Linked DNA regions of Anolis sagrei. The protein of the gene in region 1 interacts with the protein of each later gene in a biochemical or structural test. Links are inferred from orthologs where the notes say so. Each region holds a gene or a part of one and is shown on either strand. Other genes may lie near its edges.

Region 1 (7,976 bases):
GAAGCAAATAATAATAATAATAATAATAATAATAATGGATCCATAAGGATATAGGTGGCCTGTAAAGCCTCATCATGCTGCCATTTCTCCCCAAACCCGGTATTTAAAATAAAGGGGGATCTGTGTGCCAAGTTTGGTCCATATCCAAGGCTGATGGGGTTTGCAGTAGTCTCTGAAAGTGGATGAAGGGGCTGCAAATCTCATCACCTGTGGTCCACTCTACCCAAACTTCTCCAGGATGTAAAGTGGGTCTTGGGGGGGGGGGGCTGTGTGCACATATGTACATACATGTGTACCCACAAACATTTTATATAGATAGATAGAAGAAATAGAAAAGATACGAGTCCAGAGACCGGATAACCATCTGTCAGGGGTACTTTGATTATGCTTCTTCTGCATGAAGGTAGAAGGGTGCTGGACTGGATGGCCTTTGGGCTCCCCCACACCACCACCACCAACTCTAGGAGTCTATTATTATTAAGCAGAGACTGGATGGCCATCTGATAGGAGAGCTCTGATTGCAATTTTCCTGCATGAAGGCAGAACTGGGTGGCTCTTGGAGGCCTCTTCCAGACGATAGGAAAGTCTAGAAGGCTGGAACGCCATCTGAGGGTGTTTTGATGGTGCTTTTCCTGCATGAAGGAAGAAGAGGACTGGACAGAATGGCCCTTAAGACCTCTTCCATCTCTATTATCATTATTATTATTAAAGTGGGATGGCCTTGTATTGGGAGGGCTTTGGTTGTGCTTTTCCTGCCTCGCAGAAGGGAGTTGACCCATGCAGTCTATTCAGGAGGGCTTTTCCAGCACGAAGGCAGAAGGGGGTAGGACTAGACTCTTAAGGTCTCCACCCATTATTATTATTGAGGTTAGATAGCCATGTCAGGTGGGCCGATTGTAGTTTTCCTATGTGATAGCAGAATAAAGGAGGGTAGGACTGGATGGCCATCTGTAGGATGGCCAACTCTAGGATCCTATTATTATTATTGAGCAGAGACTGGATGGCCATCTGCCGGGGAGTGCTTTGGCTGTGCTTTTCTTGCATGAAGGCAAGAGAGTGGACAGAATAGCCTTTGGGGGTCCCTCCGAATCCTAGGATTCTATTATTATTAAGCAGAGACTGGATGGCCATCTGTTGGGGGAGCTTTGATGGTGCCTTTCTAGGAGGAAGGCAGAAGGGGGCTGGGCTAGATGGCTTTTAGGGGCCCCTCCCAACTGTATGAAAAGAAAGGCGCTCTCATCAGTGGGGCTCCCACCAACAAGCGCCTGGATACTTACTTGGCGTCTCAAAGACCAAAACAAGTGTGTCCGCATTGTCTTCTGCTCGCAGGGTGATGATGTCATCATTCCCCGCACACTTGAGAACTTTGGACATGCTAGGAATGAGAGAAGAGACAAGGTTGACTCTCCTTCCCGTAACATTGGCAGGTTCATTCTTAATAACATCAATGTTTAACATAATATAATAGATGTAAGGATACAAAACAAATAACATATAGAAATATAACAAGTACAAAATATCGCTATTAAGAGTCAACTTTTTACCTTGGAGGCTTTAAAGCAGGGGTCCTCAAACTAAGGCCCGGGGGCCGGATGCGGCCCTCCAAAGTCATTTACCCGGCCCTCGCTCAGGGTCAACCTAAGTCTGGATCAACTTGAAAGCTGACAACAGCAATCCTATCTCATCAGCCAAAAGCAGGCCCACACTTCCCATTGAAATATTAATAAGTTTATATTTGTTAAAATTGTTCTTCATTTTAATTATTATATTGTTTAAAGAGGTGTTTTGTTTTTGGTTTTTTTTGCACTACAAATAAGATATGTGCAGTGTGCATAGGAATTCATTTTTTTTTTCAAATTGTAATCCGGCCCTCCAACAGTTTGATGGACTGTGACCTGGCCCTCTGTTTAAAATGTTTGAGGACCCCTGCTTTAAAGTTTGTGGGCCTGATTAGTACCTATGTTCTCTGTAGGCTTTATTGTTTTATTCAAGCCATTTTGAGTCTCCTTAAAAAACTCTAAAATTACTACAGCAAAACAGCAGAAAGGAAACAACCAGGCACATCTTAACACCTCCCAACAGAACATTTTCCCAGGCTCAGCCAGGCCTTCAAATGCTAATGAAGGTGGTCAGTTGAAACATTCACACCTAGCTCCAGCAGAGAAAAGCTCTTTGCCCCACCCCAGTCATTCCACAGATATATAAACCCATTGTCCTAATTCCAACAGACCTCACTACCACTGAGGATGCCTGCCATAGATGCAGGCGAAACGTCAGGAGAGAATGCCTCTAGAACATGGCCCTATAGCCCGAAAAACCTACAAGAACCTAGGATACACAGCTGCTTTGAGTCTCTTTTGTGGAGAGAAAAAGCGGACAATATATAAGCATAAGCATCATAATAATAAATCATTTTTTATATTTGGTGGATTGACATGAAAAGGGCTTCCTCTCCCTTGAAAAACGCGCCAATTCCCTTAGACACGCCCATACAAAAAGGAGTCCACCAATCGGGTGGAAGCAGGGGTGATGACGGCTTCCAAAGGAGCCAATCCGCTCTCAGGGGTCACTAGAGAGAAGCCACGCCCCCTCGTTCCCTCTCAGCGCTTCCCGCCAAAAGGGCGGCGAAATGGCGCGCGTGACGTCATCGCGGCGGGAAAAGGCAAACATGGCGCTTCTGGCCCTTCTTTCCTTCTTTGGCTTAGGTACCGACCTGCCCAGGTTGACTCCCATGGCGATGTTGCGGTCGCAGCGGTAGGTGTCGAAGCCCTCGGAGCGCATGGTGAGCTGGACGAGGGAGACGTGGGAGGAGTCCATGCTCTGGAGGCTGATGCCGCCGGAGCCCAGGTCCCAGCACGCCTCGGTGATCAGGTCCTTCAGCGCCTCCAGCACCTTCTTCAGCAGCGAGCCCTGCACCAGCCGCGCCTCGAACATCCTGCCGGCCTCAAAGACACCACACAGCTAGGCCGCGATGTTCTCCCTTCGGGGTCACGAGCGCTTCTGAGGGCTGCTGCGCGCACGAAGGGCCCTTTTATACTGCCCCGCCCCCTCCTCGTGAAGGCTCCGCCCCCTCCTCATGAAAGCCCCGCCCCCTCCTCATGGAGGCCAATCAACAGCGATGGATAAGTTATTCCCTCCGTCCCGCCCACTCGCTGTGAGCCAATCAAGGAGCGCAGTGAGCGTGTCTCCACCCATTCCCCCCTTTAAAGCAAAGGCCCCGCCCACTCCTTGTGGGGACCAATCCACAGCACTGAAAGAGGTGGGCGTGTCCCCATTCCAGAGACCCTCCGCCCCTCTCACTCTTCTCGCACTAATCAATAGGCGTGTCTTCAGCCCTTCCCGCGCGCAGCCGGGACCGACTGCGCATGTGCATCCCCCTCTTTAGCTAAAAGGCGCCACAGTGGAACGACGCATGCGCAGCAGGGAATATTTTTCTTCCTGCGAAGGAGCCTTTCGCTGAGTATTCCCGCCTGACGTCATAGATAGCGCAACCACTTAGATTCTTGGGTTCTCTCGGAATTGTCCAATCACATTCACGGGGAGGTTCTCAACCCGGAAGCTTGACTAGTGCAACCCAGTCTTGCCTGGGCTTGTTTCTTCAGGGAGAGGCTGGGCCCAAATCTATGCTCCATTGTACCCGCGTTATATGATGAGTGTAGACTCATAGTACACTTATATAATGCAGTCCAGAGTTTGGAAAAGTTACTTTTTAGCGAGAACTAAGCCTTCACAGGTGGCGGGGCCTGCTGGAGGATGATGGGCTTTGTAGTCCGTGGTTTTCTTTAGTTTTACTTATTTATTTACTAGCTATCCCCTGCCACGCATTGCTGTGGCCCAGTCTGGTGATCTGGAAAATAAAGTAACGAGAAAGTGTTGATATCGAACTAGAATTTGGAGGCTCCCACCCAGGAGCCTCCAAAGAAGGCGAGAAGTACTCTGGCGAGCGAAAAGAGCCAAAGAATTTTTCCCTGAATTTTCCCAAATAAATCTCACCAAAGCTGAAGAAAAGCCACCGAGTTGTATTTATTTCATCCAGCTGGTACAGATGTCAAACCGCAATCGTTCGTCAGGAGAGACATACATGCAATTAGTACATTTTTATAGAAAAACATGGAGCCCCCAGTGGTACAGTGGGTTAAACCCCTGTGCTGGCAGGACTGAAGACCGACAGGTCGCAGGTTTGAATCCGGGGAGAGGCGGATGAGCTCCCTCTATCAGCTCCAGCTTCTCATGCGGGTGATGCAGAGCATCTTTCCCCCCCAAGTATTTGTAGTTCACCAAGGGCCGGACTATGGATTCTGCTGCTTCCTGACCCAGCACACATAACTGGGTTCCTGCTTCCTCTCTGTGAATTCTCTGGCTTGTGCACTGGACCCTGGCCCCTGATCAGGGAAATGCAGTTCCCCAAAGGACATTGCCCCACTCTCCACCATTTGCGGACTCTTTGTGGACCTTTTTCTGCCCTTTCTCATTGACTTGGTGCCCTGGCATCACGGGCTTCCTCCTGAACTCCAAAAGCCAAGCCGCTTCTGAAGAATGGCCCCCGCCTGTGGGTGCATGCCCTTGTTGCAAAGGATCATACCTCAGGAACTCTGCTGATTGCCTTTATTAAATTGCTGTGGGTTTTCTAATAAACTTTGCTGGGATGGGAGGGGATGGGGACCCTTTTTATGAAATCTATGAGTTATGAAAGACTGTAAAGAATATATGTATGAAGTGTGTGTAATACGGAATGTAAAGGAATGAGGTGCACCCTCACCCCTTTCCTTGCCTTTCCCCTCTTGAACTTTACCCTATAAAGGAATATGTGACCAGGGGATTACAGTTAAGGAAATCCAATTTCCTTGGAAGGAACTCCATTCATATTGACATTGCATGGAAAATACTGGCAAATCTATGGCTTTGTTTTTCAGAGTTCAGACAAACAAAAGCCAGAGATTTTGTCAGCCAAAAGCCCGGAAAAACAGACTGATTACACCAATTGTGGTGTTTGTGCATGCTCCCTTGTGACAAAGGATCTCTTTGCCCGCAAGGTTGAAGATCCAGACACCACCCACCGCCACCCTCTTTTCCCTATACACATCTTTTATCGGGGCCCAGGAAATCCCTTGTCTCCCCTTCCGCCTCCCTGCCGTGCGAAGAACAAAAGGTGTTCCATCAGCTGGCGGACGCCTCCAGGCGATCCGCCCCTCTGCGCTGTCAAGATACGTCCCGCCTCCTGGCCGCTGATTGGACAATCTCCAGAGGCGCTCCAAGGGCTCTGATTGGCCCCCCGGAAGCAACAGCGGCCGGCGATTGGAGGGGAGGCGGGACCAGCGGCCAAGCCTCCTCCCAGCTGTTCTGGAGCCGGCCAATCAGGACAGAGGGAACTGACAGGAGGCGGGCGGGGGATTCAAACCAGGATTTCTTTGTTCTGACTGTATAAAAATGCCTGAAAATCACTGTGCTGTATGCTTACTTGAGGAAATATCCCTGTAATGCATCCTTTTCAGCTGAATCGCTAAATAAACGCTTCGGTCGCTGGGTACCTCTTCAGCCTCTGGCGAGATTAATTCTTAATATTGTGCGCTTTGGATTGGCTTCTGCTGGCAGCTCGCCAAGGTCAAGACCCCATTAGAGGTCTCCAGGGTTCCCCCTCGCTGGGAGAACCCTCCAAAAAGGAGCTCGATATCATTTGGCTTTACCACGAAGGGACTGCTGCTTGAGGTTCCAGACTAAATTATAGCCTAAATTCTCAAGCAGGCGCCTTGGTCTGATTCTTTGGGCCAGCAGCGAAGGAGGAACGGCTTGGGAAAAGAGGCGCCTCTCCCAATTCGGACTTTCATTTGACCAGCTAACCAAAACTACAAATTCTCCCGCAGCCACTTCCTCCCAAGCTCTGACCTAGGGTTTCAGCACAAAGGAGCGCCAGGGAAGCCTTGATCTAAGGACTTCCAGGAAGAGGAGCGACCGACGCGGAACGGGGGGAAGAAAACGTCCGGACGGGTAAGAAGCCAACCGCGGGCTGCCTTGGCTGCCAGGTGGGAGGGGATTCTAGGCTTTCTGAACCAGCTTCGGAGTCGGCCCACTGGGGAGGGATTCTCTAGGTCTCGGTAACAAATTCCTGGCGGGAGGTAGCGAACATCCACGTTTGAGGCCCAGAATAGCAACTCAGCTCGCTTTTGCGGCCTTGGCTGGAGCTACGCTGGAGAGGGAGCCCTTCCCTTTCGGACTGCCTAGCTGCCAAGGGCTGATCGCCTCGGGCTCTCTTGCTAGGGGACCGTTCAGGCTCTAGCCTGCCAGCGGTTGGGGGGGCTACCCTGATTAGCCACTTCAGTGTGGGGCTATCAAGAGAGATGGGCGCATGTTATTATGGGATCAAACGTCCTGCTTCATCAGAAACATCTTTTGGGAAGATACTGGCGGAATGGGGCAGGGTTGCGTCGCCGACGCAGGCCAGTAGGGTAAAAATCGCATGGAGAGGTGGCCCTCCGGGCCCTCAGCAGGTGGAGTTTCGTGGCCCCTCATGGCAGTCGGATCGCTGTGAGGGGGCCAAGAGGGCCGAAACCGCCTTTGCCTCATGCTTTTTACCATGTGCCGGTGGGAGGCGGAAGGGGGGTAGCTGCGACCAACTCCGACCATGCAAGGGGAAGGTTACAGAGCCCCAACCCCCAGGAAACCCCCTCCAGACCCCTTCACCCTCTCCCTTTGGAAGAAATTGCTTATTCCCCTACCATCCCATTCCCATTTCCCTTTACCCAATCTCCCTGACTCCCTCCTTCCCTTCCCAACCCCTCCATTTCCCTATTCCCTATTATGAAATGTCTGCATTCATATGCCCCCCCTAATTTTTTTCCCCCTGTTCCTTGAGGAAATGCGCTAGGGAAATTCTTTGCTCTCCTCCTCTCCTGCTTTCTCCTGTGCCACCTTTTTTCCTTCCTTCAGATGGGAAAAGGAGGCATTGCTCATTCCCTTCTCCACCAAGCTACTACAAAATCCCTTTCTTTCTCAAGCTGAATCTTCAGTGCCTGTTTATTTATAATAAACAGTGTTTCTCCTCGCCAGGAGAGACCCTGCCACTGATGTGACTCAGCTGCCTTGCAAAAGTCTCTCTCTCTCTCCTGGTCTCCCTGACCCAAGAGCTCTCTTTTTCTCCCCTTCTCTTCTGTGCAACTACAAAACCCATTTTTCAGGGGCAGTCACCAATGTCCCTGCCTTATCCTTTGTTCTCTCTTTACTCCCCAACTTCCCTTTTTTCTCCCAAAACCCCTCCTCCCTTTCTCCTCTTGCAAAGGGAGGTGTAAGAGGGGACCTTTTCTGTTCCTGTTTCCTCTTGCCAAATAAAGTTTTCTGGGTCTCTTTCTCTCTCTCTCTCTCTCTCTCTCTCTCTCTCTCTCTCTCTCCCTGCCTTTTTTCCCTTTTTTCTCTAAGGACCGGACCTCATCAAAGAGTTCCATGTGCTTGTGAAATGTCTCTGAAACCCATCCTCTCTCTCTCTCTCTCTTCCCTCCCCTCCCATCTTCTAAGGAACCAGTGTTCTGTGAATTCTTTCCTCCATCTCCCAGAGGAATCCTGCTGCTCCCTCTTACCTCCTTCTCCAAAAAAAACCTAAGGAAGGGATGTTCCAGAAGCATTCCCTCCTGACATTTCACCCACATCTATGGTTAAATCTCTCTCTCACACACACGCAGTCCCTCTGATGCTCTTTTTCTTCCTGGCCCTTCCTCCCTCCCCTTTCCCTGAGCGCATGTATGTGTATGTCTAAATTATCCCATTAACTGCCTTAAATATGAAGGGGGCGTCGAGGTCCAGGGGTCCCCTCTGCGCAGTGAAGAGCAACTGGTCGAACTGTGGGACCCATAATCCACTCCTGCCGCTGAGGACAACTACCTGGGCAAGGTGAGCAAGGGAGGTCTGTGGACTTTCCTGTGTGGAACCCAGATGGCACGGGAGAATCACACAGAGAGCAGGACCAGACCCCATGCCGCCCAGAAGAG
Region 2 (7,043 bases), on another chromosome or scaffold:
GAGTTGAAATCCAAATCACAACCAAAGGTTGGGAACCACTAGTTTAGCCGGTATTGCACCACTGGACATCTGTCGGAAAGTATCAGCTAGTAATGAAAGGACCAAGGCATTGACATTTCCGGCCCAGCATGCTATTGGTTTAAATAAAAAAACAGCCTCCTGAGATCGAGAAAGATACTCACAGGAACACCTCAGCAAGCGAGAGTGCAAAAGTGGCAGACTAAAACCCGGAACCTCAATCAGTGGCTGATACCAAATGAGAGACTCCCTCCTGGGCACATAGAAGAGAAGATGACCTGGAAGGTGCTGAACAGATAGCTCTCTAATACCACGAGATGCAGAGATAACCTTAAGAAATGGGGCTACAAAATGGAGTCCACAACATACAAGTTTGGAAAAGAGCAAACCACAGACTACCTACAATGGACGACCTTCTCATGGCAATACCAGAGGTACTCCAAGTGGCCGGCTTCTGGTCAAAGGACATTTAGTGTAATGCCAAGTTTTTTTTAACCTTGTTTGTCTTTTTAGATGCATTTTAATTGTATCCTCAACTTGCTTCTGACATGATAAATAAATAATATGGTAGGACTGATTTAGTCTAACACAATTTGTCTTGCTTTTGACTTGGATCCAAGCCAGTACCTGTCATCAGTAATAGACTGGATGAGGATGAAGAAATTGAAACTTAATCCAGGTAAGATCAAGGCAGTCGTGGTCAGTCAAAAGGCAGACTGATGAGAATACGAATTCAGCCAATGTTGGATGTGGTTACAGTCCCTTCTGAACATGAAGGTTCACATTTGCTAGGGTGCAGGGCATAAGACCCAGGTGAATGTGAAAATGTGTGCCCCAAACTCCAGCAAAAGTAGATATGACCATACGTATCACAGATTTCCATAGCATATGCCATTGTAGCTGAAGTGGCAACAAACTGGATTGATTCTACACCAGGCATGGGCCAACATGTGACGATCATGCCATCACCACTCAAGCAGGGAGCTTTGAAATGGTTGAACAGAAGCTCTCAGAAGCTTTAGGTGCTCTTACTGCCTATTACAGGAAAAACAACTGATTCCTAATCCATCTAAAATGCAAATGTGTGCTTTTTATCTTAAGAACAGACAAGCATCTCAAGCCAGCACTGGATGGGGATACAGTCCCTTTTGAAGATGCAGGTTCACATTTGCTAGGTGCAAGTCATAAGACCCAGGTGAATGTGAAAACCTGTGTCCCAAACCCAGCACAAGTAGATCCCTGACAGTACACATCACAGACTTCCAAAGCATGAGCCATGGTAGTTGAAGTGGCATCAAACTGGATTGATTCTACATCAGGCATGGGCCAACATGTGACGATCATGCCATCACCACTCAAGCAGGGAGCTTTGAAATGGTTGAACAGAAGTTCTCCAAAGCTTTAGGTGCTCTTACTGCCTATTACAGGAAAAACAGCCGATTCCTAATCCATCTAAAATCCAGATGTGTGCTTTTCATTTTAAGAACAGGCAAGCATCTTGAGCTCGGAGCATTGCTGCACATGCAAACACCTGGGAGTCACTCTGGACTGTGCTCTGCAGGTTCACATTTGCTAGGGTGTGGGGCATAAGACCTAGGTGAATGTGAAAAACTGCCCCAAACCCCAGCAAAAGTAGATCCCTGGCCGTACACATCACAGACTCCCATAGCATAAGCCAGTGTTTCTCAACCTGGGGGTCGGTACCCCTGGGGGGGTCGTGAGGGGGTGTCAGAGGGGTCACCAAAGGCCACCAAAAAACACAGTATTTTCTGTTGGTCATGGGGTTTCTGTGTGAGAAATTTGGCCCAATTCTATCATTTGTGCGGTTCAGAATGCTCTTTGATTGTAGGTGAACTATAAATCGCAGCAACCACAACTCCCAAATGTCAAGGCCTATTTTCCCCTCAGACTCCACCAGTGTTCACATTTGGGTATATTAAGTATCCATGCCAAGTTTGGTCCAGATCCATGACTGAGTCAACGGTGCTCTCTGGATGTAAGTAAACTACAACTCCAAAACTCAAGGTCACTCCCCCCCAAACCCTTCCAGTATTTTCTGTTGGTCATGGGAGTTCTGTGTGCCAAGTTAGGTTCAATTCTATAGTTGGTGGAGTTCAGAATGCTCTTTGATTGTAGGTGAACTATAAATCCTGCCAACTACAACTCCCAAATGACAAAATCAATCCCCTCTCAACCCCACCAGTATTCAAATTTGGGCATGTTGGAAATTTGTGCCAAATTTGGTCTAGTGAATGAAAATACATCCTGAGTATCTGATATTTACATTACAATTCATAACAGTAGCAAAATTACAGCAATGAAGTAGCAATGAAAATAATTTTTTGATTGGGGGTCAACACAACATGAGAAACTGTATTGAGGGGGTGACAGCTTTAGGAAGGTTGAGAATCACTGGCATAAGCCCTGGCAGTTCAAGTGGCATCAAACTGGCTTGATTCTACACCAGGCCTGGGCAAACTTTGGTCTTCCCTCCAGATGTTTTGGACTTCAACTCCCACAATTCCTAAATTGTGGGTGTTGAAGTCCAAAGCACCTGGAGGGAAGGCCAAAGTTTGCGCAGGCCTGTTCCAGGTGTAAAGGGAAGCTAGTTGCAACACAAAGGGAAGCTTGTTGCCAGTCAGCCAAACAAACGCAGGCGCCTCCTGTGCGCTCTTTCCGTGCCTTCCTGCCTCGGTTCCCACGAGCCTTTCACTCCCAAATCCTCCTCCCAGGCTGCTAAAAGGAGTCGAGGGTCTTTACAGGCAGGGGGAGGATTCCTCGCAGCACCGGAGGGAGAGTCTGGGCGCAACCATGCCGCTTCTTCCTCCTCCTCTTCCTCGTCCTCCATTTCGGGCACCAAACACCGCCTCTCTTCGCCTGCCCTGGTCTTGGCCAATGGCGAGGTCAGCTTCCCTGGAAGGAGGAGCGACGGACCAAGTGAAGACCGTTCAGGCAGGCCCTTCTCCGCCCAGGCCATGACGCGTGTCACGGGCGTCTCGTGTGAATGAGAATGTGCCCTTTCTTTAGGTGCACTCTGACATCACTTAAAACGCCCTGGATCCATGCGATGGAGTCCTGGGAGTTGTAGTTTGGTGAGGCACCAGCCCTCTTTGGCATAGGAGGCTAAAGACCTTGTAAAACTACAACTCCCATGGCTTTATATCCAGGCATGACCCAACTTGGTCCCTCCAGGTGTTTTGGACTTCAACTCCCACCATTCCTAACAGCCGGTAGGCTGTTAGGAATGGTGGGAGTTGAAGTCCAAAACACCTGGAGGGCCCAAGTTGGCCCCCATGCCTGATCTGCGAGGGTTGAATGAAAAGTAATGCCTCCACCTTCATAGCTCCTCAACAGATGGCAGTACTGGTATGCGGCAGGTACTGGCTTGCTCAGTAAACTCTCCTCTACAGTTCCATTTTAGTGGGAAGCCTTAGCATTGAACAGTTGTGTTGTTAAAGGTGAACTATGGAACCCTGCGCAGACTTAAGCAACGTGCAGTCATTGAATTCTTGACAGCAGAAGGTGTCACTCCAAAAGAAATTCATTGGAGAATGCAAGCTGTGTATGGTGATTATGTTGATGTGAGTACTGTGCATCGTTGGGCGAGTAAGTTTAAAGATGTTGAGGTGGGAACATCTGACTTGCATGACAAACAAAGAGTTAGACGTCCTGTGACAGAAACCACCAAGTTTCACAAGCAAAAGGTTGACAGATTGATTCAGGACGATCCTCGTATCACTCAGAAATGTATTATTTATTTATTTATTTATTTAGCAGTTTTGTATACCAGTCTTCTCACCTCCATCGAGGGACTCAGGCTGGTTTCCAACATCAATATTACAAACAATCATTAAAAACATCGTATTCTAGATTACACTAAGACATTAAAAACAAAATACAAACATATAATGACAATGGTCAGTCGTCATCATAAAATCATCCACCCATATCACAGAACTTGACTCATTCTTCGAATGCCAGTTTCCAGAGCCAAGTTTTCACCTGTTTTCTGAACGTCAAGATAGAGGGGGCCGTTCTGATCTCCAGTGAAAGGGGGTTCCAGAGTCGAGGGGCCACCACCGAGAAGGCCCTGTCCCTCGTCCCCACCAGACGTGCTTGTGAGGCCGGTGGAACCGAGAGCAGGGCCCCTCCAGACGATCTTAGCAATCTTGATGGTTCATAGGGGAGGATACGTTCGGACAGGTAAACTGGGCCGGAGTCGTTTAGGGCTTTATAGGTTAACACCAGCACTTTGAATTGTGCCCAGAAGCTAACTGGCAGCCAGTGGAGCTGGCGCAACAGAGGAGTAGTATGCTCCCCGTACCCCGCTCTTGTTAGCAGCGTTGGACTAGTTGAAGCTTCCGGGCAGTCTTCAAAGGCAACCCCACGTAGAGAGCGTTGCAGTAATCTAAACGGGATGTAACCAAAGCATGGTGGAGGCATTACTTTTCATTCAACCCTCGTATAGCATTGAGAGCCATAACAGTTGAAATGTGTTAATTCTACAATAAAAATGCTCCCATTAGTATAAAAACAGAAATAATCTGGAGAGACAGGAAATCTTTTCGGAAGAGAATTTTTAGTGCGAAATGGATGGAATGTTTCCCCTCCGTCAGAGTATCTGGCATTTGTACTCATAGGCCTAACATCCTGTTAGCGACATGCACATTGCGCAGACATAAATTACATTTCACACGTAATTCATGCCTGCCTATGTCACCGCTGGAGCACAGAACCTCATTGTTGCAACAACTGGGCTGGTTGCCATTGCGTCTCCAAACAATTGAAACTCTGGCGATGACCTTTAAAGCCTTCTATGGCCGGGATCTGGGCTGTGTCTCATTTTCTGTGTTCCTTGGGACTTAAGAGATCTTAGCCATTTCTTTTCTGGTCTAGTAAATGGAATTTCTGCTATTTGATTGTATGTGGCACTTGAAGAAGACAGTTGAAATACATACAGTAGACTCTTAGTCAGCCGTCACCCATGGGGATTGGGAGATGCTAGATCAGTGGGTCTCAACCTTCTGAATGCCACAACCTCTTAATACAGTTCTTCATGTTGTGTTGACCCCCAACCATAAAATTAATTGGTACTTCATAACTCTAATTTTGCTACTGTTATGAATCGTAATGTAAATATCTAGTATTCAGGATGTATTTTCATTCACTGGACTAAATTTGGCAAAAATACCCAATACGCCCAAATTTGAATACTGGTGGAGTTTGGGGGAAGATTGATTTTGTCATTTGGGAGTTGCAGTTGCTGGGATTTGTAGTTCACCTACAATCAAAGAGTGTTCTAAACTCCATCAACGATGGAATTGAACAAAACTTGGCACACAGAGCTCCCATGACCGACAGAAAATACTGGAAGTGTTTGGTAGGCATTGAACTTGAATTTTGGAGTTGTAGTTCACCTACATCCAGAGAGCACTGTGACTCAAACAATGATGGATCTGGACCAAACCTGGCATGAATACTCAGTATGGCGAAATGTGAACACTGGTGCATTTGGGGGAAAATAGACCTAGATATTTGGGAGTTGTAGTTGCTGGGATTTATAGTTCACCTACAATCAAAGAGTGTTCTAAACTCCATCAACGATGGAATTGAACAAAACTTGGCACACAGAGCTCCCATGACCGACAGAAAATACTGGAAGTGTTTGGTGGACATTGAACTTGAATTTTGGAGTTGTAGTTCACCTACATCCAGAGAGCACTGTGGACTCAAACAATGATGTATCTGGACTAAACCTGGCATGAATACTCAGTATGTCGAAATGTGAACACTGGTGCATTTGGGGGAAGATAGACATTTGGGAGTTGTAGTTGCTGGGATTTATAGTTCACCTAAAATCAAAGAGCATTCTGAACCTCACCAACGATAAAATTGGGCCAGACTTCCCACACAGAACCCCCATGACCAACAGAAAATACTGTGTTTTCCGATGGTCTTTGGCACCCCCGCTGACACCCCCCTCGTGACCCCCACCCAGGGGTCCCGACCCCCAGGTTGAGAAACACTGTGCTAGATAGATGTAGTTTCTAGTTCCTTGTGAGTTACTATTAAAAATAGATGTACCATACCATATTATAAACTCTGTATTGACTTGATATTGATACTGAAATACAGTATTTAAAAGCAAATTAAGAAAAATAGAGATAAAGATTAATATACTGTTTTACTATATTATAAAAATGGCATTTTTATTAAATGTTGTTATTTCTTTGATAGGAGCCCCCGATGGCGCAGTGGGTTAAATCCCTGTGCCGGCAGGACTGAAGACCGACAGGTCGCAGGTTCGAATCTGGGAAGAGGCAGAAGAGCTCCCTCTATCAGCTCCAGCTCCTCATGTGGGGACATGAGAGAAGCCTCCCACAAGGATGATAAAAACATCAAATCATCCAGGCGTCTCCTGGGCAACGTCCTTGCAGACGGCCAATTCTCTAACACCAGAAGCGACTTGCAGTTTCTCAAGTCGCTCCTGACATGACAAAAAAAATTCTTTGATGTTTTTGCCTGTTGCTTGAGAGTTCTGGTTGATTGTTTTCTGGTTAACTGAGAGTCTAGAGCAATTAGTCCAAAAATACATTGGTCTTTTGGAAAATAAATGTAAAGAAGATTATCTATGGATGTAGCTGGATGAGCTGAAATCATAAACTGAAATAATAAACTCCCATGTTTAAAATAAAGCATGATGTGTTGTATGTTTCCTGAGTCATATTTTTAATTAATTCAACAAGATTTTGCTGCCTGGTGTGCATGTTGAAACTTGTTAGCAAATGTTTGGGCATCTCCTCCAACTGCTACATTCCAGTTTAAGGGATGCAACCTCTATCACATTGTACCAGTAGTTAAGTCACATGTAGCTCACCAATGTTGTTGGAGTTGTCTCCATTAGCAAACAAGAGTAGATAATGAAGGATAATGGGAATTGCAGTCCAACTATATCTGCATTGCAAGTACACGTCGTCTATCCTTGCTTTAGGACCGTAACAAGGGAGATTAAAGGTAGAAATCGT
Region 3 (7,880 bases), on another chromosome or scaffold:
TAATAATAATAATAATAATAATAATAATAATTCCACACAGCTGAATAAAATCCCACATTTTCTGCTTTGAGCTGGAATATATGGCAGAGTGGACTCAGATAACCCAGTTCAAAGCGGATATTGTCGGATTTTTCTGCCTTGTTATTCTGTATGGAAGGGCCTGAGTCCACACTGCCATATAACCCGGCTCAAAGCAGATAGTGTGGGATTTTATACAGCCTTAGGTCCCTGAGTCCCCTTTGGGGAGATGGTGGCAGGGTATAAATAAAGATTATTATTATTATTGTAAGCCGCACCGAGTCCTTCGGGAGATGGTAGCGGGGTACAAATAAAGGTTTATTATTATTATTATTATTATTATTCCACATAGCTGAATAAAATCCCAAATTTTCTGTTTTGAACTGGAATATATGGCAGTGTGGACTCAGATAACCCAGTTCAAAGCAAATATTGTCGGATTTTTCTGCCTTATTATTCTGAGTTATATGGCTGTATGGAAGGGCCTGAGTCCACCCTGCCATATAACCCGGTTCAAAGCAGATAGTGTGGGATTTTATACAGCCTTAGGTCCCCGCGTCCCCTTTGGGGAGATGGTGGCAGGGTCTAAATAAAGATTATTATTATTATTATTATTAAAACATCAATTCATCCGGGTGCCCCCTGGGCATCGTCCTTGCAGACGGCCAATTCTCTCACACCAGAAGCGACTTGAAGTTTCTTAAGTCGCTCCTGACACGACAAAAATATTATTATTATTATTATTATTATTACTATTATTATTATTCTACACAGCTGACTAAAATCCCACATTTTCTGCTTTGAACTGGAATATAAGGCAGTGAAGGTTCAGATAACAGTTCAAAGCAGATACTGTGGGATTTTTCTGCCTTGATATTCTGGGTTATATGGCTGTGTGGAAGGGCCCAGAGTCCCCAAACACAAAACTGGAATGGATGTAAACTACAAAGAGCAGCTAGCCTCCTCTTCCTGCCTCCTGGAGACAACAAAAAGTAGGAAATCTTTATGTTTTATGTAATTTATCAAGTTATTGTGTATGTTTTGATTTTAGTTATTGCATTGTGTTGCTGGGCTTGGCATCATGTAAGCCGCCCCGAGTCCCCATTTGGGAGATGGAGGCATAAATAATAATAATACTTTATTTGTACCCCGCTACCATCTCCCCAAGGGACTCGGTGCGGCTTACATGAGGCCGAGCCCAAACACAACAATACAAGCAATAATAACAACAATACAAGCAATTAAAAACATATAGACAATAAGAGACACAACATTAAAGATTATTATTATTATTGAATCCCCTTGCTTCTCTGCTTCTATTGCTATTAAAAACGTTGGGGGAGGCCTAGTTTGACAGGAAAAACGAAATGCAAAGATACAAAATGGGGGACAATGCCTGGCTCGAGAGCAGTACGTGTGAAAAAGATCTCGGAGTCCTCGTGGACAACAAGTTAAACATGAGCCAACAATGTGATGTGGCGGCAAAAAAGACAAATGGGATTTTGGCCTGCATCAATAGGAGCATAGTGTCTAGATCCAGGGAAGTAATGCTACCCCTCTATTCCGCCTTGGTTAGACCACATCTGGAATATTGTGTCCAATTCTGGGCACCACAATTCAAGAGAGATATTGACAAGCTGGAATGTGTCCAGAGGAGGGCGACTAAAAGGATCATGGGTCTGGAGAACAAGCCCTATGAGGAGCGGCTTAAGGAGCTGGGCATGTTTAGCCTGAAGAAGAGAAGGCTGAGAGGAGATATGATAGCCATGTATAAATATGTGAGAGGAAGTCATAGGGAGGAGGAAGCAAGCTTGTTTTCTGCTTCCTTGGAGACTAGGACGCGGAAGAATGGCTTCAAACTACAAGAGAGGAGATTCCATCTGAACATGAGGAAGAACTTCCTGACTGTGAGAGCCGTTCAGCAGTGGAACTCTCTGCCCTGGAGCACGGTGGAGGCTCCTTCTTTGGAGGTTTTTAAACAGAGGCTGGATGGCCATTTGTCAGGGGTGATTTGAATGCAATATTCCTGCTTCTTGGCAGGGGGTTGGACTGGATGGCCCATGAGGTCTCTTCCAACTCTTTGATTCTAAAGAGAAGAAACCTGAGACGAACAAAACTTGACACCTTAAGTTATTTTCTCGCTTTTGGAGATGATTGACAGCCAAACACCCAACTTGTGCTGCGTGGCAGGGCAGCCAAAAGAAAAGAACGCAGAGGCAGAAAGAAACAGAAATTAGCAATAATAACAACAACATATTGATGAGCATCCATTCCAATACTGAAAAAAAAAAGTGGAGGCAGTTAACAGGCCCAGGACTGGCCAAGCAATGGAGGGCCCTTCCACAGAGACAACATCAAGGCTGGCCATCCCACAATATCTGCTTTGAACTGGGTTATCTGAGTCCACACTGCCATATAATCCAGTTCAAAGGTGATAATGTGGGATTTGATTCAGCTGGAAGGTGCTCATTTTATTCAGATGCTCCCCTATCAGCAAAGCAGGCCTTCCAATCCTTCAAGAACACACAGAATTTGATAGGGGAGGAGTAATTATGGTGTAATTATGTTAAATGAGGGGAAGGTGTCCAGGAAGGCCTCAGAAGGCCACCTTTCCCTTTAAGAGACCCCCTTCTTTCTCCTCACACTCTCCCTTCACTTCCCTCTGAAGGAGAGAGACGAAGAAGAAGGGCGAAACCATGTCTAAAAAGGAGGGGGGGCTGAGGAGGGAGAAACCATATACAAAATGGAGGGGGGGGCTCGAAAGACCAGTACTCTCCCCCTCACTGAGGGTGCTTGCCCCCCCCCCCCAAAGCTTGAATTGGGGTCGTGGGGAGCAGGGGCCTCACTCACCGCCTGCGCAGCTCCTCGGGGGTCAGCGGGGCGGCCCGGGCGGGCATCTCGGCAGGAAGGAAGGAAGGAAGGCGGCGGGCAGGGAGCCGGAGGGCGGCCGAGAGCGGTTTCGCGCGCACCGGGGAGGAGGGGGAGGAGGGAGGGGCGGGGCCGGAGCTGGAATGAACCATCCGGCATTAGGCCCGGGGGGGGGGAGGCAAGAGGAGGTCTCTACTTCGGGCCTTCTCAATGCATGGAGTGGGGGAGACCAAGTAGACAACGGAGGGGGTGCTTGTTTGTATTGATGTGCCTTTATCGAGGTTTGGTGACTCCATACATTTCTTAGGGCTTTCATACTTCATCACACACTAGAGAGAATGAATCCACTTTCAATCTGGTTTCTGCCTCCTGCAGGATTCTGGGGTTTGTAGTTTAGGGATGCTGTTCTAGGCTCCTCCCTAAACTACAAACCCCAGAATTCTGCAGGAGGCAGCAACCGGGATTAAAGTGGATTCATTCTCTAGTGTGATGAGGTCCTTATAGAAAAGTCAGAGGTCGCTTTGATCATTTACAAAATGCAGACCATAACTCTGTAGCTCTGTGCATGGCAGTGAGAGAAGTGCGCGTGTGTATATATGTAATGACTGTATATATAGAGGGGGACCAGTCACCAGCCATCCCCTCTCCAATGCCAGAGATACAACTTAATAGTGTAACATTAGAAAATGTTGACCATTTCCGCTACCTTGGCAGTCACCTTTCCACCAAAGTCAACATCGACACCGAAATACAACACCGCCTGAGCTCTGCAAGTGCAGCATTTTCCAGAATGAAGCAGAGAGTGTTTGAGGACCGGGACATCCGTAGGGAGACCAAGGTGCTTGTCTATAAAGTTATTGTCCTCCCAACCCTGCTATATGCCTGCGAAACGTGGACAGTCTACAGACGTCACATGCAACTCCTGGAACGATTCCATCAGCGCTGCCTCCGGAAAATCCTGCAAATCTCTTGGGAAGACAAGCGGACAAATGTCAGCGTGCTGGAAGAAGCAAAGACCACCAGCATTGAAGCGATGGTCCTCTGCCATCAACTCCGCTGGACCAGCCACGTTGTCCGGATGCCCGACCACCGTCTCCCAAAGCAGTTGCTCTACTCCGAACTCAAGAACGGAAAACGGAATGTTGGAGGACAGGAAAAGAGATTTAAAGATGGGCTCAAAGCCAACCTTAAAAACTCTGGCATAGACACTGAGAACTGGGAAGCCCTGGACCTTGAGTGCTTCACTTGGAGCTCAGCTGTGACCAGCAGTGCTGCAGAATTTGAAGAGGCACAAATGGAGGGTGAAAGAGAGAAACGTGCCAAGAGGAAGATGTGCCAAGCCAACCCCGACTGGGACCGCCTTCCACCTGGAAACTGATGCCCTCACTGGGGGAGAAGATGCAGGTCAAGAATAGGGTTCCACAGTCACCTACGGACCCACCACCAGTACACCAAACTTGGAGGACCATCATAGAATCAAAGAGTTGGAAGATACCTCATGGGCCATCCAGTCCAACCCCCTGCCAAGAAGCAGGAATATTGTATTCAAATCACCCCTGACAGATGGCCAGCCTTTGTTTAAAAGCTTCCAAAGAAGGAGCCTCCACCACACTCTGGGGCAGAGAGTTCCACTGCTGAACGGCTCTCACAGTCAGGAAGTTCTTCCTCATGTTCAGATGGAATCTCCTCTCTTGTAGTTTGAAGCCATTGTTTCATGTCCTAGTCTCCAGGGAAGCAGAAAACAAGCTTGCTCCCTCCCCCCTGTGGCTTCCTCTCACATATTTATTGTTGTTCATTCGTTCAGTCATCTCCGACTCTTTGTGACCTCATGGACCAGCCCACGCCAGAGCTCCCTGTCAGCCGTCACCACCCCCAGCTCCTTCAAGGTCAGTCCAGTCACTTCAAGGATGCCGTCCATCCATCTTGCCCTTGGTCGGCCCCTCTTCCTTTTTCCTTCCACTTTCCCCAGCATAATTGTCTTCTCTAGGCTTTGCTGTCTCCTCATGATGTGGCCAAAGTACTTCAACTTTGTCTCTAGTATCCTTCCTTCCAGTGAGCAGCCGGGCTTTATTTCCTGGAGGATGGACTGGTTGGATCTTCTCGCAGTCCAAGGCACTCTCAGAACTTTCCTCCAACACCACAGTTCAAAAGCATCTATCTTCCTTTGCTCAGCCTTCCCTAAGGTCCAGCTCTCACATCCGTAGGTTACTACAGGGAATACCATGGCTTTGACTAGGCGGATCTTTGTTGCCAGTGTGATGTCTCTACTCTTTACTATTTTATCAAGACTGGACATTGCTCTCCTCCCAAGAAGTAAGCGTCTTCTGATTTCCTGGCCGCAGTCTGCATCTGCAGTAATCTTTGCACCTAGAAATACAAAGTCTGTCACGGCCTCCACATTTTCTCCCTCTATTTTCCAGTTGTCAATCATTCTTGTTGCCATAATCTTGGTTTTTTTGATGTTTAGCTGCAACCCAGCTTTTGCGCTTTCTTCTTTCACCTTGATTAGAAGGTTCCTCAGCTCCTCTTCGCTTTCGGCCATCAGAGTGGTGTCATCTGCATATCTGAGGTTGGGATGTTTATATATCATCCTCGGACTACGAGGGATCGCCTAAGAAGAGATGTGTGTGTGTGTAATGACTGTATCTATATATATATATATAGAGTGTATGTATATGTATGTATGTATATATACTGTATATATCAAATGTCTATGTGTTTTTATAGTGTGTAGATATGTGTATGTATATATATACATACATACATACGTAATATGTAGGCATAAGTGTGTTTATATACTGTGTGCATATATGTTAGTGTGTAGATATGTATCTGTATGTGCTTTTATATACATACTATGTGCATATATGTGTAAGTGCATGTCCATCTATGTGTGTATATGTGTTATGTCTCTTCTGTAATCTGTAAGTAAACTTTATTACGGTTGGTGACCAGATCATAACGGGGGGACCCAGTCCCGCACATCCACGTCAAACCCAAGGGGTTATATGCTTCAAACTTCAACAAATTTAAAAATCTAGGCTAAAAACCACATAACCCACAAATTTTAAAATCTAGGCTAAAAACCACATAACCCAACTCAACCCACAAGATCATTCGAAGGCAGTCTAAAAGGATGTAGTGGGGATGGTACCCGGGGGGGGGGGGGGGGATGATATCCAACACTATAAGTATCATTCTATATCCAATTTCCCATCTATAGTTATTATAGATCAAAATGTACTCCTTACAGACCAAATGACCTCCTAACCTCCTCAAAACCCATCTCTCTCTTGCATTTCCTAACATGGCCATTGGCGACTGTTGAAAAGCATAAATGGCAGAGGATTACCTGTCTATACCCTCTACCCAGATGCACAGTGATGATGGTGTCATGCCCGGGGACCTCCAGAAGACTCTTGAGATATTCTTCAAGATTCTTTGTCACTATGTGTTGTGTCCAGCTATCAGAACACAGCTGGATGCTCCTGCATCATCCCCTGGGCTCCATAGGTCACTAAGTAGCAATGGTGAGAAGGAAGCAAGAAGGAACATCCCATGGGAGATCATTCTTCCTGGGTAGAACTTTACAGGCTCCATAGAAGATTGTTGTAGTAATAATAATATTTATGTATTTATAGCCTGCCCTGTCTCTCCGAAGGGACTCAAGACAGCTTATAAGAAAATAAAACACAGTTACATTCAATGCCAAAGGTACATATAAACAAACCATTAAATATTATAAAATCAGTAAAAATTATAGGTGATTCTATGATTCTGTCTCCTTTGAAGTGGATTGTATGGCAGTGTAAAGGTAAGATAAAGGTTTTCCCCTGACATGAAGTCCAATCATGTCCGACTGGGGTGTGGTGCTCATCTCCATTTCTAAGCCTAAGAGCTGGCATTGTCTGTAGACACCCCCAAGGTCATGTGGCTGGCATGACTGCATGGAGCGCTGTTACCTTCCCGCTGGAGTGGTACCTATTGATCTACTCACATTTGCATGTTTTTGAACTGCTAGGTTGGCAGAAGCTGGGGTTGACAATGGAAGCTCACACCGCTCCCTGGATTCGAACCTGTGCCCTTTCGTTCAATAGGCTCAGAAGCTAGATGCTTTAACCCACTGCGCCACCGGGGGCTCAAAAAAATGATAAAATCAGTAAAAATTATAAAAGCAACTTAAATAACACACTCCACACAATTATAGCATATTAAACATTTTATCAATATCATTGAACCCTTGGTGATTCCAACAGATGCAGTTTTAATGTCCGTAGATGTAACATCATTGTACACCAGTATTCCAATAGAGGAGGCGCGATTCATATGTGAATAAACTTTAAACAGGAGACCTAATTGTCACCCACCCACTTTCTTTTTGTTGGATCTTCTTGACATGATGCTTGAAAAAAATATTTAAAATTTGACCAAGAATATTATTTCCATGTACAAGGAGTAGCCATGGGCAGCCCAGTTGCGCCGTCTATAGCAAATTTATTTATGGACAATTTGGAAAAGGACATAATACTGAATCACACACGTAACCCTGTAGCAAACAGCATAATCAAATATTGTAGATTTATTGATGACATTTTTATGATTGTAAATTCACACCAGGAGGCAGTAACTTTATTATCTTGGATTAATACCATTCATTCCAATATCAAATTTACAGGGAACATTAGCTCCACATCCCTGATTTTCCAAGATGTTCTGGTCAAAAAAGAAAATGACAGATTGAGAGTGAAAAACCACCACAAAACCACTGATAGAAACTCTTTGTTACATTACAACAGTTACCACCATTGGGCCTTAAAAACAATTTACCCTATACACAGATGCTCAGGATTCAACATAACTCCTTGACTCAACAAGACTTCGATGATGAGATCAAAGTAACGAAACACCAGTTCAGAAACCGAGGATATCCAGAAAACATAATACAATATATGAACCCACACGTTCCCTTCGATCATCTGGAGAGGCCCTGCTCA
Region 4 (7,634 bases), on another chromosome or scaffold:
GCAAAGCAGAGCAATGGAATACCACGTCTGAAGCTATGGAATACCTTTATTATCTGCAGTCTCTTCTAATGCAAAGTTGTCTGGGAATCCTTCAACATAGGTAGTGGCCAATTGTTCTGCTTCAATAGATTGTCCCTTCATCTTTTGAAGCCTTTCATGTACAGCACTAGTTAAGTCCATATAGGCCTCATCAATGCTGGCTCGCTCAATCACAGCAAAGCGAGACATGACTTCCATCACTTCCACGCTTGCCTCTCGGTACCTATATCAGATAGGCACAAAATGATCCTTTAATATTCCTGTTGCACATTCTCTTACAATTGGATTATTATTAAGCAGTCAACCACTAGAAAATGAGATATATATGTGTGTGTGTGTGTGTGTGTTAGAGCTTCAATACTCTCCAAAACGACAGCACTTTCCCCTCATCAACTGCCAAGTATACTAAGATAATGAATAAGGATTGAATAAACTAGAATAAGTCCAATACACTATTTAAAAGAACACACTGGGAGATAAATTTTTGAATCCTAGGATATTGCTCAGTTAAAGCCAGACAACATGCATTATATCCTAGTTATGAATAACAGCTAAACATGCTTCGTAAAAACCACCTCATACTCAGAGCACGAAAGAGCAGCATTGATCAACTTCCTTCTCAAACTAGTTTTTACTCCAGATTATTTCACAATCCACATCAGATTTATTTATATTTATCGTGTCAGAAATGAACTGAGAATATAGTTATAATGTATAAAAAAACCCACAAAGTTAAAAACTTAGCATTATACTAAATTTCCTTTGACCAGAAGCTGGGCACTTCCAGTGACTCAGGTGTCACTTTAAGAAGGTCCTCCACTGTGCATGTAGCAGGCTCAGACTGACTGAATTGTAGTAAGTGGCCTGTGTTTGCTCTTCTCCACGCTCGCATGGCAATGCACTCCACTTAGTAGCCCCATTTCTTAAGACTGGCTTTGCATCTCATGGTGCCAGAGCGCAAGTCTGTTCAGTGTCTTCCAAGTCGCCCAATCTTCTGTCTGCACAGGAGGAAGTTTCTCATTTGGTCAGCCACTGATTGAGGTTCTGGGTTTTTACCTGTGACTTTTGTACTCTTGCTTGCTGAGGTGTTACTGCAAGTACCTCTATAAATCTTAGGAAGCTATTTCTTGATTTAAGGCTTGGCATGCTGGCTGATATCCGAACAGAGAATGGGCCAGAGATGTCATTGCCTTGGTCCTTTCATTACAGGCTGCTACCTAAGTTAATACCATCCAAGAGAAGCTATAACAACTAGACTTACCTGGTGAGGTCTGCTTTACCATGGGCCTCTGGCACTCGAGCCACCAGGAGATCTGGGCACAGCTTCTTGGCATCAACAGCCCACATGTTCCTGGTAACTCCAAAAGCACGTGCTTCATAGCTCACAGCAATTATTCTGAATTTGACACAGAAAGAAAAGGGGATGCAGCAACTACTGGGTTTTATGCCCTCCCACACTGCCACCCCCTTTCCTTGTGTATCAGTATTAGACTGTCAGCCTAAGGGCTGAGTACTGTCAAACAAATGCCCCATGAGGAGCTTCTGGGGGAAGTGAAGCCTGGATAAATGAAGGTTACTCCAGAATACAGGAGCAGAATTCAAAACGATCTTAACAGATTAGAGAGATGGGCCAAAACTAACAAAATGAAGCTCAACAAGATACAAGATACTCCACTTAGGAAGAAAAAATGAAATGCAATGATACAGAATGGGGGACGCGTGGCTTGAGAGCAGTACGTTGACAAGAAATGTTGACAAGCTGGAATGTGTTCAGAGGACGACGACTAAAATGATCAGGGGTCTGGAGAACAAGCCCTATGAGGAGTGGCTTAAAGAGCTGGGTATGTTTAGCCTGAAGAAGAGAAGGCTGAGAGGAGACATGACGGCCATGTATAAATATATAAGGGAAGTCATAGGGAGAAGGGAGCAAACTAGGACGTGGAACAATGGCTTCAAACTACAAGAAACTACCTTAACATGAGGAATAACTTCCTGTGAGAGTTGTCCAACTGTGGAACTCCCTGCCGTGAAGTGTGGTGGAGGCTCTTGTTTTGGGAGCTTTTAAACTGAGGCTGGATGGCCATCTGTCAGGGGTGCTTCGGATGTAATTTTCCTGCTTCTTGGCAGGGGGTTGGACTGGATGGCCCATGAAGTCTCTTCCAACTCTAGGATTCTATGATGTTGTTGTTCATTCGTTCAGTCGTCTCCGACGCTTCGTGACCTCATGGACCAGCCCACACCAGAGCTCCCTGTCGGCCGTCACCACCCCCAGCTCCTTCAAGGTCAGTCCAGTCACTTCAAGGATGCCATCCATCCATCTTGCCCTTGGATTCTATGATAGTCGTGTTTAAATATGTGAAAAGGATACCCTATTGGAGATTGGTTTCCACTGCTCCAGAGACTAAGGGTGTATCTGCTATGGATTCTTATGAGTTTTTGATGAAAATACGTTCAAAGCAGTCTTGACAGATGGCCATTCAATCTCTGCTTATAAACCTCCAGAGGACACTCCACCAAACTCAGAGGCAGCATATTCCACTGCCAAACAGCTCCTACCTAGGAGCTTTAAATTAGGCATGGGCCGACTTGGGCCCTCCCTCCAGGTGTTTTGGACTTCAACTTCCACAATTCCTAACAGCCGGTAGGCTGTTAGGAATTGTGGGAGTTGAAGTCCAAAACACCTGGAGGGAGGGCCCAAGTCGGCCCATGCCTGCTCCCATTGCCCAAGGGAGCCGAGGCACGTACCCGCCGCCCTTCCAGGTCTTGTACTGGGCCACGACGCAGGGCTTCCCGCGCAGACTGGGCTGCAGGCGCTGCTCCACTTGGATGTAGAAGCAATCCATGTCGGCCAGCGCCACCACCCGCTCCCGCCCGCGAGACATCCTCAGGAAAAGATTCAGAAAGTTCCTTCAGTGAGTGGAATTCCCGCCTTCTTTCTCCTCAGAGGCGGAAGGGAGGGAAGAAAAGGAAGTGACGCAACGCGCAGGTTGCAGCGTGGCTCCGCACGCTCTTGGAACGCAAGGAGAGAAACGGATCAAGGCGTCGCTGCAATGCCTGCTGGGAAATGGAGTCTTGAAGGGACATGTCAGGGTTCCACCACGCTGTAGTCGAGGAACTGTGATGACGTCATATTGGTTTCTTTCGTGACGCAGATATTCTTCGCCAAACTGTCTACATACAACATAAACATAGGAAAGTGGGAAGAAGACAAGCGATTCTTGCTGATTCTACAACGAAGAAGCAATGCAGTCTTTAACTCCCGGGGCTTAATGCTTTAGACTCGTGGGAGCTATAGTTTCCCAAGAGAGATCTGGATTCCAAAGGATTGGACCATGGGAAGGTCTTTGCACACAGCCATATAGCCCAAAATATCACGGCAGATAATCCACAATATTGGTTTGGACTGGATTATCTGAGTCCACACTGCAATATAATCCAATTCAATGTGGATTTTATACAGCTGTGTGGAAGATGTCGGAGTTCAAGTCATATCAAACTCTATTAATTCCACAGTGTAGGTTTATTTATTATTTATTTATTTACAACATTTCTATGCCGCCCTTTTCACCCGAAGGGGACTCAGGGTGGCTTACAAGTTATTTTATTTATTTATTTAGAGTTTTTATAACCCGGTCTTCTCAACCTCCGAGGAGGGACTCAGGCCGGCTAACAACATAAGATTCAATACAATAAGAAAAAACAGTATACATCATCAATATAAAATACATTAAAATACAATTCATACAATTCGTACAAGTTACAAAAAAGTTAGTTCGTCACAGTGAATCACAAATTCATCGCCATCCACCAGAAAGGTCAGCAGTTATTGACTCAGTCATCATTCTGCAAATGCATTATCCCAAAGCCATGTTTTTACCAGCTTTCTAAAAGTCAGGAGGGAAAAGGCAGATTTAATCTCCATCGGGAGGGAGTTCCAGAGCCGAGGGGCCACCACCGAAAAGGCCCTGTCCCTCGTTCCCACCAAACATGATTGCGAAGGAGGTGGGACCGAGAGCAGGGCCCCTCCAGAAGATCTTAACAACCTTGATGGTTCATAGGGGAGAAGCCATTCGGACAGATAAATAGGGCCGGAGCTGTTTAGGGATTAATATATGTACATACAATATATTATTAGCATCACACAATATTAGTATTATATATTACTATATTACACTATACCACTATACTGTAATATTAGTAACATTACATGTAATATGGAATATAAAATTATTAAATTGTATTATTAATAGTATTATATTGTATTACATTATACTATCAATATTATATGAGTATAAAATATTTATTTATTATTTATTAAAAACATTTATATTCCGCCCTTCTCACGCCAAAGGGGACTCAGGGCAGAGCACGACATATACACAGCAAATATTCAATGCTAGGACACAAATTCACATACAATACAATACAATGCTTAATAATCCAATTGTAAGAGAATATGCAATGGGAATATTAAAGGATCATTTTGTGCCTATCTGATATAGGTACCGAGAGGCAAGCGTGAAGGGAGTTCCATAGCCGGGGAGCAATCACCGAAAAGACCCTGTCTCTCGTCCCCACCAATCGTGCCTGTGACAATGGCGGGACGGAAAGCAGGGCCTCCCTGGAGGATCTTAATCTCCATGATGGTTCATAGGTTCATATATGATATTATTAGCACAGCACAATATTAGTATTATATATTACTATATTGTATTATACCACTGTACTATAATAATATTATTAGTAATATTATATGTAATATCTATATATATATAAATGCTCTGTGCATAATGAGTACCTTAAAAATAAAAGAACCAATGAACGAAATCACACCAAATTTGGCAACAAAATGTCTCACAACACAAGGAGTGACCATCACTCAAAAATTATAATTTTGTCATTTGGGAGTTGTAGTTGCTGGGATTTATAGTTCACCTATAATCAAAGAGCATTCTGAACTCCACCAACGATGGAATTGAACCAAACTTGGCACACAGGACTCCCCTGACCAACAGAAAACACTAGAAGGGTTGGTGGGCATTGGCCTTGGGTTTTGGAGTTGGAGGTCACCTACATCTTGAGAGCACTGTGGACTCAAACAATGATGGATCTGGACCAAACTTGGCACGAATACTGAAGACGCCCAAATATAAACACAGATAGAGTTTGGGGGAAATAGACCTTGACATTTGGGAGTTGTAGTTACTGGGATTTATAGTTCCCCTACAATCAAGGAGCATTCTGAACCCCACCAACGACAGAATTGGGGCAAACTTCCCACACAGAATCCTCATGACCAACAGAAAATACTGTTTTCTGGTGGTCTTTGGTGACCTTTATGACACCCCCTTGGTGACCCCCCTCCGGGGTCTTGATTTCCCAGGTTGAGAAATGCTGCCTTAAGGCCATCCATTCCAACTCCCTTCACCAGGGCAAGAAAACATAATCATAGCTCTCCTGACAAAGGGCCATCCAGCCATTCCCACACACACACACATATGTATATGACAGATGCAGTATCATAGATTTGAAAGGGACCCCTAAAGAAGGACAATGATATGTTGCATATTCCAGAGTTGGCAAACCAGACAATCTCCACATCAACACTGACAAAGAAACAGGAAGAAATACTGTTTACCCACAAGCAGAACGACATTACATATATTATAAACCAACACTTTCTCGTTACTTTATTTTCCAGATCAACAGACTGGGCCACAGCAACGCGTGGCAGGGGACCGCTAGTAAAATATATAATTATTATATTGTATTATTATTAGATGTAGTTGTATAGTGGAATAGTGGTATCCACGCTTTGACTTTGGCCTTGAAACCCCGTGGAGCTATTGCCACGACCTCTCTCTGGTGGTCGCAACTTGTAACTGCAGCTCTTTGCTCCAAATTTCTGACCGCATTCCAAAGGCCGCCTCCAGTCCAAAATAATGTAGACAGGACCCGGAAGCTCCGTGTCATCAACGGAGTGAGGCATTCTACTGGGCTAATTCTACGTTTCTAACTCAGAGCCGTCCAAGTTGTGGACGGTGCTTTGCGCAGGCTCAGTGGAGACAGTTTGGCTGCTGGCGCCTGCGCAGTGCTGCCTTTGGGCTTGTGTACCCGGCGCGGTGTGGCTCTCGGGTTCTCCCCCCCTGTGCCTGGTTGCCCGGGGCAACGGGGCCTACTTTCTCCTTCTTCTTGCCTCCCCCCGGATAGAGCCCCTCTCCTCGCCGCCATGTCTTGGGACCCCGTGAACACCCTCTGCGAGCAGCTGGTGAAGGCGGTCACGGTGATGATGGACCCGGCCTCCACGCAGCGGTACCGCCTGGAGGCCCTCAAGGTAGGGAAGGCCATCGAGATGCAGCAGATCTCCTCGCAGCTGCCTCCAGGCCCAAATAGTTCCCGTATCCCCGGCGCGAGTTCGAGCCCGCCCCGCAGGCCTCCAAGTGTCGGGTCGCCCCGTCCGTCCCCACGCCACCTTCACGTGTCCGCCTGGTTGAGTTTGCTGCAAGCTTGTTTGAGGGCTTCTGCAAGGGAGAAGGCGCCCCTCTTGCTTTGAAGGGACCCGGGGCCCGTCTGCACTGTGGGATGAATGCAGTTTGGCACCGAAATTCGTCAGCAGTTTCTTTTACCAGCTTCCACTTTTATTATGGCTTCTATTTTGTCTCCAGACTTGGATACAAGTCTGGTCAATGTTTATATATGATTTATATTAATTGTATTGTATTTTTTGTTTTTGTTTATTGCTTTTTGTTTTATTGATGTGTTGTTGGGCTTGGCCTCATGTAAGCTGCTCCGAGTCCCTTGGGGAGATGGTGGCGGGGTATAAATAAAGTATTATTATTATTATTATTATTATTTGTGATTTTTAGAAATAATGCTTTGAAGTAGCATATTTATATATATTTGTTGTGTGAGAAGCAAATTGAGAATGCAGGTATAATGTATTTAAAGCCACAAAGATTAAAACTTGGAATTATACTAAATTTCCTTTGGCCAGTATCTGGCCACTTGGAGTGCCTCTGGTGTTGCTGTGAGAAGGTACTCCACTGTGCATGTGGCAGGGCTCAGGCTGCATGGTAGTAAGTGGTAGTAAGTGGCCTGTGGTTTTATTCTTCTCCACACTCGCATGTCGAGGACTCCACTTTCTATCCCCAGCATCTCGTGGTGCCAGAGTACATCCTGTTCTGTGCCTTCGAAGTCGTCCAGTCTTCTGCATGTGCAGGAGGAAGTTTCTGGTGATAGTATGATAACTGAGTCCCTGTGCCACGAGCGTTACGCTGTTTCTGGAACGCTGCTTCGAGTACGCAGATTGCGTGGGACAATACCACTGAAGTAATTTAACGTAGGGGAGGGACACAGATAACAGTGAATGAATGTATCAGTTCTTTAATGAGAAATGGTAAACAACAGTTTGGGAAACGGTTTGGGAAAACCATTAACGGGATAGCAATCAGCTATCTGCCCCAAAATATTATTAAACTCTTCAATATTGTTTCCCGCCCACATCCAGGCTGTCTATAAACTTGAGGGTGTTCACCACAAATTCAACATTCCTGCCAAAAACTCATGGCCAGCTCCGTTGTCCGAAAGTGCACAAT

What was found.
Region 2: the proteins of PCNA (region 1) and POLI form a complex in vitro, tested with the Homo sapiens proteins (4 studies listed by BioGRID, with this or other methods). The link is inferred for Anolis sagrei from reciprocal best matches to the Homo sapiens genes PCNA and POLI.
Region 3: the proteins of PCNA (region 1) and DNMT1 form a complex in vitro, tested with the Homo sapiens proteins (3 studies listed by BioGRID, with this or other methods). The link is inferred for Anolis sagrei from reciprocal best matches to the Homo sapiens genes PCNA and DNMT1.
Region 4: the proteins of PCNA (region 1) and POLH form a complex in vitro, tested with the Homo sapiens proteins (7 studies listed by BioGRID). The link is inferred for Anolis sagrei from reciprocal best matches to the Homo sapiens genes PCNA and POLH.

The regions. Positions count from the first base shown.
Region 1 is NC_090027.1:20,002,325-20,010,300, forward strand, and holds the start of PCNA (proliferating cell nuclear antigen), read right to left. Parts: upstream 3,019-7,976; 5' UTR 2,935-3,018; coding exon 2,714-2,934; intron 1,376-2,713; coding exon 1,278-1,375; intron 1-1,277. UniProt on the Homo sapiens protein: Auxiliary protein of DNA polymerase delta and epsilon, is involved in the control of eukaryotic DNA replication by increasing the polymerase's processibility during elongation of the leading strand.
Region 2 is NC_090022.1:284,994,464-285,001,506, forward strand, and holds the start of POLI (DNA polymerase iota), read right to left. Parts: upstream 3,004-7,043; 5' UTR 2,996-3,003; coding exon 2,779-2,995; intron 1-2,778. UniProt on the Homo sapiens protein: Error-prone DNA polymerase specifically involved in DNA repair. Plays an important role in translesion synthesis, where the normal high-fidelity DNA polymerases cannot proceed and DNA synthesis stalls. Favors Hoogsteen base-pairing in the active site.
Region 3 is NC_090022.1:172,052,324-172,060,203, reverse strand, and holds the start of DNMT1 (DNA (cytosine-5)-methyltransferase 1), read right to left. Parts: upstream 3,007-7,880; 5' UTR 2,916-3,006; coding exon 2,869-2,915; intron 1-2,868. UniProt on the Homo sapiens protein: Methylates CpG residues. Preferentially methylates hemimethylated DNA. Associates with DNA replication sites in S phase maintaining the methylation pattern in the newly synthesized strand, that is essential for epigenetic inheritance.
Region 4 is NC_090021.1:49,690,860-49,698,493, forward strand, and holds the start of POLH (DNA polymerase eta), read right to left. Parts: upstream 3,014-7,634; 5' UTR 2,922-3,013; coding exon 2,785-2,921; intron 1,436-2,784; coding exon 1,301-1,435; intron 263-1,300; coding exon 45-262; intron 1-44. Other genes in the region: XPO5 (exportin-5), read left to right, coding at 6,269-6,373. UniProt on the Homo sapiens protein: DNA polymerase specifically involved in the DNA repair by translesion synthesis (TLS). Due to low processivity on both damaged and normal DNA, cooperates with the heterotetrameric (REV3L, REV7, POLD2 and POLD3) POLZ complex for complete bypass of DNA lesions.